3 linked regions of the Rattus norvegicus genome follow. The protein of the gene in region 1 interacts with the protein of each later gene in a pairwise test. Links are inferred from orthologs where the notes say so. Each region holds a gene or a part of one and is shown in the gene's direction. Other genes may lie near its edges.

Region 1 (5,218 bases):
CAGAAAACAAATGGGAAGGGTACCCCTGTGCTCCTCTCCTGACTGTATCCAGTGTTTGCCTTTCCCGCGCCTTTATTTCTGGGCATGCACATAAGTCCAGGCTATGGAAGCAATTTAACAATTCATCCTCAAGGTCACACACCCTGGAGTAGCCAGGAGCCCTGGAGGGTGAGGCTCCGGGGAGCTTGCAGAGTCAGGGCTTCAGATTCACTCACTGTCTTCACAGCCACACACCTCAGAGGAGGCTCCTCACCACTTGTCATTTGATAGCAGCTTACCAGAGTTTGCAGAGTTTGCAAAAGTAGGAGGATTGATGGGAGGCCTCATTGCTCATAGGAAAGGTTTGTTTGTCCGCAGACCCCAGCAGGCTTCCTGTAGGCAAACCTAAGGCCCCAGTGGCAGCGGCCTTCAGCATTCCTCTCCCCTTGTGTCTCACTTCCACATTACTGCACCCCCTGTCCTCACACCTCTGGGCCTGGAAGCCGGGAACTGTAAACCAAGAAAGGAAGTTCAAAGGTCATCCATCCCAGAAGCAGAGACCAAGGATTAGCAAGGGGATTCTATTGCCCAGCATATCAAATTAATAAACTAAGCAGAAACCACAGGGAGCCTACCCAGGCCAGTGAGCCTACAGAGAGGGACACAGACACGCCAAGCAAGCTCCGTCCTGTGGGAACACACCAAGAAGTTCTTTATGAAGGGACTGGGCATTTGACCAAGGTCATAAGTAAGTGGTGTCAGCCACTCCTCTTAGATTTGATCATCGCAACCCTGGGGCCAAAGCACTTGTGGGTCTGGATTTAGAGACTGGAAGACTAAAGGTCCAGAGGTGACCTGTTCAGTGTTTCCTAGATGTAAAAGACAGAACAAGATTATATGTCAATCGTGAGCAGCATATGCTGATGGAGCGCCCCCCCCTCCCCCCCGTGCCCTGGGTGCAGGAGAGATGGAGAAGCATAAGGCAGGCTTGCTCAGGCTGAGGCTATGGGGAGAGTTCCTTAAATTAGGAGGGTAATGGGTAAACACCGTTAGGAAGACCCAGCTCAGTTTGTAATGCGTTTGTCATGCAAACATGAAGACCTGAGTTTAAGCCCCACAGTCCATATAATAAAAGCTGGACTTAGAAGCACATGTGTCCCCTTACAATGCTGGCGCTGAGGAAGCTGAGACAGGTGGACCCCTGGGGCTTCCTGGGCAGCCATCGTTGTCTATTAGGTGAGTTCCAGGGGTAGCCTCTCCCTCTGTGGTTGGCTTTTCATCACTGTAACAAGCATCTAAGGCTAATAACTTAAAAGGAGGGATGGTCAGGTCTGTTTCATGGTTCATGGCCTCTTGGCTTCACTGTTTCTGGGCTTTGGTAAGAACAGAACATCAAGCAAGTTATTGGAACATGGCAGAGCAGTGTTGCTAACCTTTTAAGGGCCAGAATGGAGAAAAAGACGAGCTTGGAATAAAAGTCTGTTTTTCCAAGGTTGCCCACCACTCACCCACCTCCGTGAACCCTTCCTCCACATAACCCCTGTCTGCCGGTTTCCACCTATCTCCCAGTAATGCCCTTGGTATTATGAATCCACGAAGGAGTTAATCCAGTGGTTATTTCAGAGCCCTCATGATCCATTCATTTCCCAAAAGCCTACCAGCTGACACCAAGCCCCCAATAGGAGTCCTTTGGAGACCACTGCATAACCAAACTGTCTCCCTCTCCCAGACCCACAGTTGCTTGGCATTGAGCGGAGCAGGAGTTCTAGATTTCCTGGAACCAGCTGGATTTGAAGTAGCTCAATGCTGGTAACCAGGTGCCAGAGGTCCAGTCACATCCTCAGGAAGGACTCCCATACAGGATAGGAGTTGGGAATTTGGGTGGGGCTGCAGCAGTTGAGGAAGGAAGCGATCTTGTGAACTATAGGAGAATAAGTCACTTGAGTCTGTACCGAGAACTCAGACTTCTTCCCGACCAGAGATGGGCATGGTCTGAACATGTATCAGTAACCTGCATCTTCTGGTTTGTTGCCTGTACCTTGTGAAGAATTTCTGGGTCTTTGTTCAAATTCATAACAGGTATCCAAATGGGTCATGATAATGCACACCTGGAACCTCAGCGCTTTGGAGGGTAAAGGCAGGAGGATCTCAAGTTCAAGGCTAAACTTGCCTATAGAGAAAGTTCAAGGCCAGTGTGGGCTACTGCAAGACAGTAAGACCCAATTTCAAAATATCAGCATGAAAATAATGTCCAGAATTCTGTTCCCATCATGATCCCTGTCCCCTAACTTCAATAAGATATATAGATAGTGGCCAGTCTTTATGAGAGTAGTGATGCTGTAACAGAGTCCAGCATTTCCTGAGTGTCTCCATCATCCTACTAGCCAAATACTTTCTAGTGACCATTTTATAGATGGCCAAGAAGGTCTGGGCATGTAACTCAGTGGAAGAACAGTTGGATAGCATGCATGAGGCCCTTTGATTCCTAGGACTGCAAACACACACACACACACACACACACACACACACACACACACACACACACACACACACAGTAATTTGCTCAAACGGTCCAATGGGAGGAACCAGAATCTGGACACAAAGGCAATTTTCAAGACTGTGTTATCTTACATTGGCCCCTTCATTATACTTCCATGCCCTAAAGCTCCACCCACTGACTGTCAATCCACCACAGGGTATGATTTTGCTGCTGTCCTCGAATGGTTTGCTGAGCGGGTGGACCGAATCATCCTGCTCTTTGACGCCCACAAGCTTGACATCTCTGATGAGTTCTCAGAAGTCATCAAGGCCCTCAAGAACCACGAGGACAAGATGCGAGTGGTGTTGAACAAGGCTGACCAGATTGAGACCCAGCAGCTGATGCGGGTGTATGGGGCCCTCATGTGGTCCCTGGGGAAGATTGTGAACACACCAGAGGTGATCCGGGTCTACATTGGCTCCTTCTGGTCCCACCCTCTCCTCATTCCTGACAACAGGAAGCTCTTTGAAGCTGAAGAGCAAGACTTGTTCAAAGACATTCAGAGTCTACCCCGTAATGCTGCTCTTCGAAAGCTCAATGATCTCATCAAGAGAGCCCGGCTGGCCAAGGTAACCCTGCCACAAGTAAATGCAATGTAGACAGGTTCTAAAGGAGAAATCAGTTGTGAGAACTGAGGTCCCTTAGATAGGAGAGTGTGGGTGGTTATGGCTGCTGGCTCTGGATCAGATGGCCAGTTTGGAGCTTGGCTCCATGGCTCCCTCGGTGATCCCCAGGAGGTCCGTGCTTTTGTAGTTTCTCAGTGCTGTTTTCTACATTTATAAACTGAATGGGCTGGGGGAAGATGAAGAGAAACAGAGTCTGAAAGCCCTTGTCACTTTACCAGATACCTTAGTATTCAGAAACTGCCATTGTCTGTGTCTACAACAGCAATGTTCTCACCCCCTCCACCGTGACCTTCCCTCTCGATAGTCTCACCAGGCTAGCCCGGTAATGTGCTAGATGAAAGAAATGCTTCAGAAGCAGGGTCAGGAGGAGGGACTTGAAGGGCCAGTTCAGGCTTCTGCTGAGGTTGTCCTCTGTCCTTCTTTGTCAGGTCCATGCCTATATCATCAGCTCCCTAAAAAAGGAGATGCCCTCAGTGTTTGGGAAGGACACCAAAAAGAAAGAGCTGGTGAACAACCTGGCTGAGATCTATGGCCGGATTGAGCGAGAACACCAGATCTCCCCTGGGGACTTCCCCAACCTGAAGAGGATGCAGGTAATGAGGGTCAGGGACCCTATGGCTGTAAGAAAACATCTTGTTAGCTGACTGCCAGAGAATGAAGGGGCTGACAGAGCTCCTGGGAGAAGCCAGAGTCATAAGGCAAGGAGGTGGCATTAGACACAATCACTCACAGCAAATGCCATAGCCAAACTGGACAGAAACAGCCAGTTGTCCCCTAGGGCACAGGTGTGTTTGATGACACTGAAGCCCTTACATAGTGAAGCCCTAGTAAAGGCTAGATGTTCAACGTCTCCACCATCTCTAGGATAATGCACCTTTAAGTGCTTAGGTTAACCTCTGAACTCCCTAGGAACAGTCTGTGACACAAACCAACCCTAGTTGACTTTGTTCCCTGTCCCCAGCTCTTGTTCTGCTCCTTCATAAAAGACCTATCCTTAGCCCATCCAGTCCTTGCTCCCCTCCCCTGGTGCAGCCCATTGGCCTAACTACTTTCATTAGAAAGATAATTGGGCAAGGATTCTATCTTTAATAGGAGATACCTTCCCTGATATGAACATCTCCTTCCACTGGATTCCCTTTTCTTTCTCTTCCCAGGATCAGCTGCAGGCCCAGGACTTCAGCAAATTCCAACCACTGAAGAGCAAGCTGCTAGAAGTGGTTGATGACATGCTGGCCCATGACATTGCCCAGCTCATGGTGCTGGTACGCCAGGAAGAGACCCAGCGGCCTGTTCAGATGGTGAAGGGCGGAGCATTTGAGGGAACCCTCCAAGGGCCCTTTGGGCATGGCTATGGAGAGGGAGCTGGGGAGGGCATTGATGATGCCGAGTGGGTGGTGGCCCGGGACAAGCCTATGTATGATGAAATCTTCTACACCTTATCCCCGGTGGATGGCAAGATTACGGGCGCCAATGCCAAAAAGGAGATGGTGCGCTCCAAGTTGCCCAACAGCGTCCTGGGGAAGATCTGGAAGCTAGCCGACATTGACAAGGATGGCATGTTGGATGATGAGGAGTTTGCCCTGGCCAACCACCTTATCAAAGTCAAGCTAGAGGGGCATGAGCTGCCCAGTGAGCTGCCTGCCCATCTCCTCCCTCCATCTAAGAGGAAAGTAGCGGAGTGAGAGAGCCAGGCAGCTTCAGACAGACAGTGTCAAAAGAGAGGATAGACGTGATGACCACACACACACACACACACACACACACACACACACACACACACACACACGACTTGACAGTCACACTATAAATGAGAAGGGTTTGTCTTTGTTTGAGTACCTCTCCAAGTCCCCAGGGTTGGAGGAAGGGCGCTTTACCTCCTCTGTCTTAGGATATAGGCCTGTGTCCAAACTTTCTCTCCATCTCCCTCCCATTCCCCCAAAGACATGAGGCAATTAACACAGATGGCCCACCCACCCTCTCCCCAGTGCCTTCACATCTAGGCCCTGAGCAGATGGGAAAGGCTTTTTGTGGAATAGACAATTCGCTTTATTTTCTATGCTTTTATTTTTCCTCT
Region 2 (4,272 bases), on another chromosome or scaffold:
CTAAATCCACTCAGGTGGACAAGAAAGGTCAGCCCTCACAGACACTCCTGCAACTCTGTCTCGGTTCCATCACTGCCTCTCCTATGCTTGTTTTGGCTGTGGAATGCTACTGTGGCTCTGTCTGGTTTTCTTTATTGAACTATTTCATTTTAGTTGGGGAATTGATGGCTTCTAATTTTGCTACTATGATAAGTGATATTTTCTCATCAGGGAATCTTTCTGGGCCATTGGCTAATGATTCAAGAACAGCAGGTTTAACATATGTGACTAGATCTGAGTTGCATTTCTCTACCTCTAATATCTTCTGCATTATTAGAGTCCCAGGATGACTTGGTTGCAAGTCACTATAAGGTGACTCCTCACCTGGCAGTTGTTTCTTGCTCAAAGCATCTTAGGAAGGCCAGAAATTTTAGAATTTTCATTAGTTTTTTGAGTCCTGTCAATTTCTTGAAGTTTCATGACTTTTTGGCCTCAGTCCTCTCTCCAGGAGGGGTCTTTCTTTTAGTAGAATGTGAATACATAGCAACAAATTATAAAACATGTGGTATGTTAGAGAATATGAAATAGGGAGAGATCTAGGGGCGGTAAATAAAGAAAAGGGGTACCAGGGACTGCTGGGGTCTAGGTAGATGTGGGCGGATGGGCTCAGCGCACAGCCTCAGAAAGAAGCTGGCACCGGCCTGGGGACATCTTCAGATCTGGTGCAACCATCTCATAAGGAAAAGGCAGGTCAATTTGAAAGGTGACTTCCAGTTAGCAGGCATGTCCTTCCTGTCAGTGGTTGGAGTGGCTTGCCCTAAGTGTATAAGCCTTAAGGTCCAATTTTTCTCCCCATCTTCCCAAAAACACTTGTCTAAATTGTTTATTACTCTCCTACAGGAAAAGTTATTGGGTTTGATGTCACTGCCAACCAAAGAACAGTTTGAAGAACTAAAAAAGAAAAGGAAGCAGGACCTGGAGCAGAAGAGGACCATGGAGCGACAGGTGCATGGGGCTCAGGCACCTAGCGGCTTCGACTTCCCTGCTCTCATACCCTACCCCTTGGCTGCTAAGTCTCTCCATTTCAAGCTGGCTTCTGTATGGCCTTAGAAAACAGTTGTTTTCCCACTGAGTCCTAGTTTTATTTAGTATTTCTGTTGATGCTCTCCTGTCTAGACCACTACAGGGATGGCAGTTTTCCCTCTGTTAGGCTTGCAGGCCAGTCCAGGAATACATACTGTTAGACAATAGAGGTGCAGTAGTGCATGCCTGTATCCCGGACCTCAAGAAGCTGAGACAAGAAGGTTTTAAGTTCTGGACCAGTTTGTGCTACATAGTGAGGCTATATCTTTTAAAGAAAATGAGGGTGCTGTTTTATACTTCAGGAATAGAATACTTATTTAGCATGCTTAAAGCACCCTGGGTTCTAGCCCCAGTACTACAAAACCCAAAATGAAAACATAAAGCAGTGTGTTTATTTTAGTATTGTCTGAAATTCTAACCTTGATGGAGATAAGGGTGTCAGTCTTTGGAAGTTTAAGGAAAGTATACAGTTGATGAAACTAAGAGGGAAAGAATCTTTTTAACTCACATTGCTTTATTGTTGAAATCTAAGCTTGTCTTTGTTTGAGCAGTTGAATTATCTTAGTATTGCTGAGACCATAGAGGGTAGCAGACAGGGAAGGCTGCTGTCTTGGTGACCATGGTGACCCTGGTGATGTGTGATGTCTCTGCAGGCTGCTCTGGAGTCCCGACGGAAGCTTGAGGAAAGGCAGAGTGGTTTGGCATCTCATACAGCCAATGGGGACATGAGGTCTCTTCAAGGCATACCTGCCCCCTTGCGAAAGGCTGAGGGCTGGCTCCCACTGTCAGAAGGTCAGGTACAGAGTGAAGACCCCGACCCTCTCCTTCAGCAGATCTATAACATTACATCGTTCATCAGGCAGGCCAAGGCTGCAGGCCGCACAGATGAGGTGCGCACACTTCAAGAGAACCTGCGGCAGCTGCAAGATGAGTATGACCAGCAGCAGACTGAGAAGGCCATCGAACTGTCCCGGAGGCAGGCTGAGGAGGAGGAGCTACAGCGGGAGCAGTTACAGATGCTCCGCCAGCGGGAGCTGGAACGAGAAGAAGAGCAGTTCCTGGCAGCATCTCTGCAAACACGGACTCGTGTTCTAGAACTCCGAGAAGTTTTACCCTTCCAGTTGGAGCCCATCCGAGGGCCTCACACTGATCTTGCCTATTCCTTAGATGAGGACTCCTCCCCAGTTCAGAGCAGCACAGCTCCTGATATCCTTTCACCTGGCTCAGCTCTAGCACCCATCCATGTGTGGTCTGGGTCCCCAGCCCTTAGCCAAGAATTACTCCTTCAGAGCACCATATCACAGCCAAGTAGTAAGACCTCTCTCAACCCGTTTGATGAAGAAGACCTCTCCAGCCCTATAGAGGGTGCTGTCAGCCCTGCTGCTGTAGAGGCTTTCCTGGGCCCTCCAGCTGCTGTCACCAAAGAATACAATCCTTTTGAGGAAGATGCTGAGGAAGAGGAGGTGGCAGAGTTGGGGGCAGGGAATCCCTTCACTGACCCAGACAGTCCAGCACCCAACCCCTTTGATGAGGATGACCATCCCAGGTCTGCCAGTCCAGCCGCCCCTGGAAACCCTTTTGAAGAGTGTCCATGCACCAACCCCTTTGAGGTAGACAGTGATAGTGGCATGGAGGCTGAGGAACACATTGAGGAGGAGCTGCTCCTGCAGCAAATTGACAACATCAAGGCTTACATCTTCGATGCCAAGCAGTGTGGTCGAATGGATGAGGTTGAGGTTCTGACGGAGAACCTCCGGGAGCTGAAGTGCACCCTGGCTAAGCAGAAGGGGGCCCCTAACTGACAGCAGTGGGCAGGAACTGGGCAGAGTCTTTGGTAGCATGATATCAAGTGGGAGGAGGAGATGGGCAGGCGCCTGAAACGCACACAGGTGGGGGTTGGAAATAGTAGTCTCTTGCTGTGCACTTTGAGACATTTCCACTATAGTTGAACAAGAACAGGAAAAAAATCGGCATTATTTGCTGGTTTTTCTGTATTTCTTTTAATGAAGTGTTCCCTTTTCAGGGGACTTTATGATTTTATTTATTGAGATACAGAGCTGGGCCAAGGTAGAAATGGCTCCTGGGTACCTCTTTGTCCATTTTCTGCTGACTGTTCTTGGTCATTATGCAGTATTATAGGGAAGCCCTTAACAGACCCCTTCCACTAGCCAAGATAGGCAGGGGCTCAGCAGGAGTCTGTCCTGACTTGGTTGCTTCCTTTCAGCACCTCCCTGCTTGGACTATCTCTTGGACACTTAGGGAGATGCTGTGTGAAGGCAGAGTCTAAACCCAGTGGGCACCAGTGCCTCTTTTTACAGATGGCAGGAATGTTGCCAGTGTTGCCCCCTCCCAGTTAAAGGAAGTAAAGTTCCCAAGTGTGAGGGTGGTGGGGTGGTGGTGTCAGTGTGAGCTTGACTATGAGACAGTAGTGATCAACTTCTTGGTGGATGTTATGGTTTGGGAGAACTTTCTACTTGTGCAGTTGTCAGCCCCTGGGGTTTGATAGAACGACCACTATATAGGTCACATTCAAGGGCCTGTGACTTGGGAATTGTGACTGGTTAGTTTCTGTGGAATATTAGTAGGTGATGGAACACTTCTGAGTCAGGAGATAAATTCTAGTAACTTCCAAGGCCCTCACGTCAGCCTTCTTCCATGTGGTTCATTCTGGAAACTGGTAAGATGTTATTTTACTACTTCGAGTACTGAAAGACAGAAATATTTGAGGCATAGCCTGAGATCATTCCACAGCTCTGAAGTACTTGAACTCTTGATAGAAGACAGAAAGGGAAGTTATGTAGCTTAGTACTTTGGTTTACAGGAACAGGTCAGTTGACAGATGACCTTGTAAGATCCTTGGTGTGCTCAGCTCTGGGTCATTTCTTTAGTTAATGGACAATAACTGTCTACTAGTCACTTTCCCTTTAGCTAGCTCTGGGCCGTGCCTTTTGTTCGCTACTGGTGTGCAAGCTCAAATTCTTCTCTCACATTCTGGTGAAGATCTGTCTTGGTGGTAAGAATACCATGTGGGTGCAAAGATCTCTATTTTGGCAGCTTTAATCCCAATTCATAGTACCTGTTGGGGCTTTGGCTGGATAGAAAGCCCACTTGGAGAGGAAGGGTAAGAACCCTTTGGGGTTCTGGAAGGTAAGCAGCCTGGCATCGTATGTTACCTGGGGCAGGCTTCCCCTCTTTCTAAAGCCTAGTCCC
Region 3 (5,218 bases), on another chromosome or scaffold:
TCTTGGTGGTGGCAAGTGGAGTGCTAGGGGAGCTTTAAGTACCCTCCCAAGACCATTATTCATAGATTTTCGTGTTTATTTTAAATTCTGTGTATCTATGGGTGGGTTTATGCATGAGAGTGCAGTGCCGATGGTAGCCAGCAGGGGCGGCGGCGTGTCTGATCTCCAAGAGCTAGAGTGACAGGTGTTTGTTAGCCATCTGATGTGGGTGCTGGAACCCTGACTTTGGTCTTCTGGAAGAGCAGTATGTGCTCTTAGCTATTAAGCCATCTGTGCAGCCTACCCAGCTCCATTTGTACTGCAAGCATGGCTGTATGGAAGGCTGCCTTGAGGCTGTTCTGCAGCTTAAAATGCCTGGAAGGGCTCAGAGGCCTTGTGCTTGGCTGGACTGCCTTTGGGTGTTGATACTACAGAGAGAGAGAGAAGGCAGAACCCCAGGGGTGCTCCTAAGGAACCCAATCCCACCCCTGAGAGTAGGAGAGAATATCAAAAGCAGTTGGAGTGGGAAATGGGGGTTATAGGTGACCACAGTGTCTCTGTCCCTAGGTGGGAAGCTGCTCCTCCATGATGCTGCTGGGCCCTTGGGAACATAACCCCTCTGAAACATAGCTCAGCTGTAAAGGGGCAAGCAACAAGTGAGGCTTTATGTGTGTTTGGTACCAGGTCTAGAACCCAAGGCTTTGTGTTTGTTAGCTCTCTCTCTCTCTCTCTTTTTTTTTTTTTTTTTTTAAGATTTATTTTATTTATTATATATAAGTACACTGTAGCTGTCTTCAGATACACCAGAAGAGGGCATCAGATCGCTTTACAGATGGTTGTGAGCCACCATGTGGTTGCTGGGAATTGAACTCATGACCTCTGGAAGAGCAGTCGGGTGCTCTTAACCGCTGAGCCATCTCTCCAGCCCATCTCTCTTTTTTTTTTAAAGATTTATTTTATGTATATGAGTACACTGTAGCTGTCTTCAGACACACCAGAAGAAGGCATCAGATCCCATTACAGATGGTTGTGAGCCACCATGTGGTTGCTGGGAATTGAACTCAGGACCTCTGGAAGAGCAGTCAGTGCTCTTAACCACTGAGCCATCTCTCTAGCCCTCTTTTATTTTTTTTTCTGTTTTTTTTTTTAAACTATTTAATTAAGTGGCGGTGCTCAAACACTCAAGAGGCCGAGGTAGGTGGATCTCTGTGAGTTCAAGGGCAGCCTGGTCTACAGAGTGAGTTCCAGGACAGCCAGGGCTACACAGAGAAACCCTGTCTCGGAAAACCAAATCAACAAACTACCTTCCTTTAGCTCTGCATTTTGGACAGTCCCACACACATGACACGCATGTTTATGGGAGCAGTGGGTGGGAGTCTGTGTCTAACAGTTCAGTTTATTTTAGTTCCCCACCCTCTAATCTCTGCTCAATCTTTCAGCCCCAGCTCCTGCATTCAGACGAAGGGTTTTTTTTATTTTTCCCACCATGTAGACCTGGCTGGCCTAGAACTTACAGTGATCTGCCTGCCTTTGCTTCTGCCTCTCTGCCTCTCTGCCCCTCTCCCCCTCTGCCCCTCTCCCCCTCTGCCCCTCTCCCCCTCTGCCTCTTCTCTCTCCCTCCCCTTCCCCCCACCTCTCTCCCTCTGCCCCGACCCCAGTCTCTCTGCTCGGCCACCACATCTGGCTCAGACAGAGCCGATTCACCCAGCCATGCCCTTGAGCAGACAGCCATGTGAGGTGTGAGAGCTCATTGGGGAGCAGTCTGGATGAGCAGACAGCCATGTGAGGTGTGAGAGCTCATTGGGGAGCAGTCTGGATGAGCAGACAGCCATGTGAGGTGTGAGAGCTCATTGGGGAGCAGTCTGGATGAGCAGACAGCCATGTGAGGTGTGAGAGCTCATTGGGGGAGCAGTCTGGACGTGGAACTGGAGCTGAATGAGTGTGGAAAGATGGAGCTTGGGAGGTTCTGTTCTTGCCTGACCCTCCCTCCTGCCACTTGTGTCCTGACCTGCTTTCCATAGTCCTGTATGATCACACTTCTCTGATTGAACTGTCTCTCATGCCTACTTTTAGTCTTCCTGCAAGGAGAATCCTTTCAACCGGAAACCATCTCCCTCCACATCTCCAACTGTAAGGAAGGCCACCAAAGGAGCCAAGCCTGTGAGGCCACCTGCCCCTGGACATGGCTTTCCACTAATCAAGCGCAAGGTGCCAGCAGAGGGACCCTAAAACCCATCTGGCCTAGGCCCAGCACCCTCCCCTCAGCAGCTTTTGGCTTCTGGGACCTGTGAATGGCCCAATAGGAAGGCTGACCCGAGCCTAGGGATCCTGCTATCCAGGAGCAGTGGGTGGGTGTTTGTGTGTAACAGTTCAAGTGCAGAGCGTAACCGTGGGAGAAACTTGTGCTTCTCAGAAGGGAGCTTCCGGGCTTCTCCCTAACCTGTTCCACTAGCTCACTGCCCAACAAAGAAACCCCTCCTGAGTGACAGGGCAGGGGAGGCTTCCCTCTGGAGCAAGGACTTACTTGAACCTCTCATGGGGAGTTTGTCAGACCTTGACTTGGAGGGTTCATGGCCATCCCCACTCCTCACACCCGTGGTGCTTTCTTGTCCTGCAACTTTGGGACAGGACCTGGGTTCCTAGAGCCTGCAGTGCTAGGGGACCCTGTGAGCTGGAGGAGAGCCGGTGGAGGGGACAGCCACCGCTCTTTAAGTGACCAGAACATTACTGGGCAGGTCCAGGCTGACCAGTATATTCCTGAAGAGGACATCTATGGTGAGATGGACAGTATTGAGCGCCAGCTGGATGCCCTGGAGCACAGCGGAGTTCTGTTGGAGGAGAAGCTGCGTGGTGGAGCCAATGGTGAGGGAGCTGCCAAGAGGAGCTGGCTGAGGGTTGTGGGTTGAGGGGAGCCCCTCCACCTGGGAGTGCGGAGCTGTGAGGGATGCCAGCTCTGGCCTTAGTGGGGTTCTGGCTTCCAGAAGGCAGCGAGGACGACATGCTGGTGGACTGGTTCAAGCTCATTCACGAGAAGCATCTACTAGTGCGGCGAGAGTCGGAGCTCATTTATGTGTGAGTCCTGACTGCCCTGCCTGCTTCCCGCCGGGTCTGAGGGGAACTGGGAATTTGTGCCGTCTGCCATGGCGGCACTGCCTGCAGATGAGCGTTCACTGCCTCTTCATCCCACCCTTCAGCTTCAAGCAGCAGAACCTGGAGCAGCGCCAGGCTGATGTGGAGTTTGAACTCCGGTGCCTTCTCAATAAGCCAGGTGAGCCTGGGACCCAAAGATCCAGGAGACCCTTGCCAGCCTGGGCCACAGGAGCCTGCCTTTAAAACTAGGGAGGTTGCTTCCTAAGTGCTCTGGAACTAGCTCTGTAGGCCAGGCTGGCCTCAAACTCACAGAGATCTACCTGCCTTTGTCTCCTGAGTGCTGGGATTAAAGGTGTGCACCACCACTATCCAGCCTCCAAATCTGATTCTTAGAATCCACGTATTTTTGACTCTGGGCATGGCAGGAACCTCGGGTGTGCTGAGGGTTGAGGGCTGAGCTGGGAAATGGAGTGGAAGAGTGCTTGACTTGTCTGTGGTTGTGGCATGTACTGAGCCATAGCTGCTGGCAGAGATCACAGAGCCATGGAAGGATGCAGCGCTCTGACGTCTTTCCTATGTGCTGATGTCATCAACCGTCACTGCCATTTTAGAGCTGAGGTTATAGAAGACCAGGACCAGAGCCCGGGCTTTTTCCTCATTTATGTAGGAGATGCTAGCTCTGTCTGCCCATGCCTGCCCCACACCAGTTCTTACTGACTCTGTGAATGAAGTATTGCCTTTTCATTAACTTGGGCACTTGGAAGGCTGGGATGGCCCCAAGTCACAGAATGTCCTTGGCTTCCTTTGCCAACTGTGAGTCACTTTCACCTCAGCAGGAGGCTGGGAGTGTGGCCACCTCTCAGGAGCCTGGTGTAACTAGAGTGAGTATGACCGGCAGCCCCAAGGCTGTGGCTACACACCCTGCCCTAGTCAGCTTGCCCCTGATGCTGCTTTTGAAGATTAGGCTAGTTTATGGGACCCTGAGGGAGATGGGCCCATAGATGCCACAAAAGGCCACCATGTGAGAGGTCAGGCTGCTTGGGTTCAATGACTTTGTCTGGGTAATGCTGGCAAAAGGCTTAGTTTTCTAAAACTTCAATTTCCCTGCACGTAGACTAGGAGCTCAACCTACCCAGGCTCCAGGGGTGAGGACACAGGAGAATTGGAATTTAGGTAGTGGCTGTGAAGCCATTTGCTGTCCCCAGGATTGGGCTGGGTTTCCTGTCCCTCAAGGTGAAGTGGGAATGGGGTAGTTCCTGGTAGCTTAACACATGAGTGGCACCAGATATGGGCACCCAGCCTTGCAGGCCCTGAGGGTGGTCCTATTGAGACATCAAGCATCAAGAGGCCTGGAAGAGGGAAGAATCTGGAGGGTGGCAAGTGTTAGTGACACCAGGGGGCCCATTGTCCCTCCGTTTGCCCTCCTCCATGGCCGTGGGGGCACATTCCGCTTTGTGACTTGGACTGAACTGCTTCTGCAGGTGGACTCCTGGGAGTTCCTTGTCCTCCCTGTGCTTGTTCACTCAAGCCAGTCCCATGTTGCTTTCCACAGGAAGCCACCCTTTGAGCATTGCTGGCCCTGCAGGGTGTCCTTAGATGGTATTTGGTGGGCACCCTGGGCCTGCATGGTGTCTTTGACCTTTGTGTTTTGTGGGCAGGAAGCTCTTGAGCATTTTTGGCTCTGCAGGGCATCACTTGAAGGGTATTTGGTGGGCAGCCAAGTGTTCTTCGTTTTTCCCTAGACCTACCTTCATTTCCCTACCAGCTTGTAAGTGGCACTCTGGGTCCTTCTCTTAATCTCACAGCAAGGATGGCCTGCTGTCTTCCGGGACTCAGGATGTGTGTGCTGTCCCTGTGAAGAGGTTCCCACCACTTACCCTGGTTTTCTCCCTTGGCAGAGAAGGACTGGACAGACGACGATCGGGCCAGAGAGAAGGTGCTGATGCAGGAGCTCATGACCCTCATCGAACAGCGCGATGCCATTGTCAACTGCCTGGACGAGGACCGGCAGAGGTGCCACACCTGGGATCCTGTTGGGGGAGCAGCTTCCTGGTAGAGCCTAGGAGGGCACTTGCCTCATCTCGCCCTGTCCTGTGGGGTCTGGAGCTTGGAAGGGACTCACAGATAACCTGGTTCCTTCCTGTGGTAG

Evidence for each region. The genes of interacting proteins can lie anywhere in the genome.
Region 2: the proteins of Ehd3 (region 1) and Rbsn interact in binary tests that used the Homo sapiens proteins (3 or more experiments, as listed by UniProt). The link is inferred for Rattus norvegicus from reciprocal best matches to the Homo sapiens genes EHD3 and RBSN.
Region 3: the proteins of Ehd3 (region 1) and Micall1 interact in binary tests that used the Homo sapiens proteins (3 or more experiments, as listed by UniProt). The link is inferred for Rattus norvegicus from reciprocal best matches to the Homo sapiens genes EHD3 and MICALL1.

What each region holds. Positions count from the first base shown.
Region 1 is NC_086024.1:27,392,421-27,397,638, reverse strand, and holds the end of Ehd3 (EH domain-containing protein 3), read left to right. Parts: intron 1-2,674; coding exon 2,675-3,087; intron 3,088-3,572; coding exon 3,573-3,737; intron 3,738-4,298; coding exon 4,299-4,826; 3' UTR 4,827-4,930; downstream 4,931-5,218. UniProt on the Homo sapiens protein: ATP- and membrane-binding protein that controls membrane reorganization/tubulation upon ATP hydrolysis. In vitro causes tubulation of endocytic membranes. Binding to phosphatidic acid induces its membrane tubulation activity.
Region 2 is NC_086022.1:126,242,042-126,246,313, reverse strand, and holds part of Rbsn (rabenosyn-5), read left to right. Parts: intron 1-879; coding exon 880-984; intron 985-1,715; coding exon 1,716-2,864; 3' UTR 2,865-4,272. UniProt on the Homo sapiens protein: Rab4/Rab5 effector protein acting in early endocytic membrane fusion and membrane trafficking of recycling endosomes. Required for endosome fusion either homotypically or with clathrin coated vesicles.
Region 3 is NC_086025.1:112,577,081-112,582,298, forward strand, and holds part of Micall1 (MICAL-like protein 1), read left to right. Parts: intron 1-2,052; coding exon 2,053-2,187; intron 2,188-2,714; coding exon 2,715-2,841; intron 2,842-2,960; coding exon 2,961-3,051; intron 3,052-3,173; coding exon 3,174-3,247; intron 3,248-4,967; coding exon 4,968-5,082; intron 5,083-5,218. UniProt on the Homo sapiens protein: Lipid-binding protein with higher affinity for phosphatidic acid, a lipid enriched in recycling endosome membranes. On endosome membranes, acts as a downstream effector of Rab proteins recruiting cytosolic proteins to regulate membrane tubulation.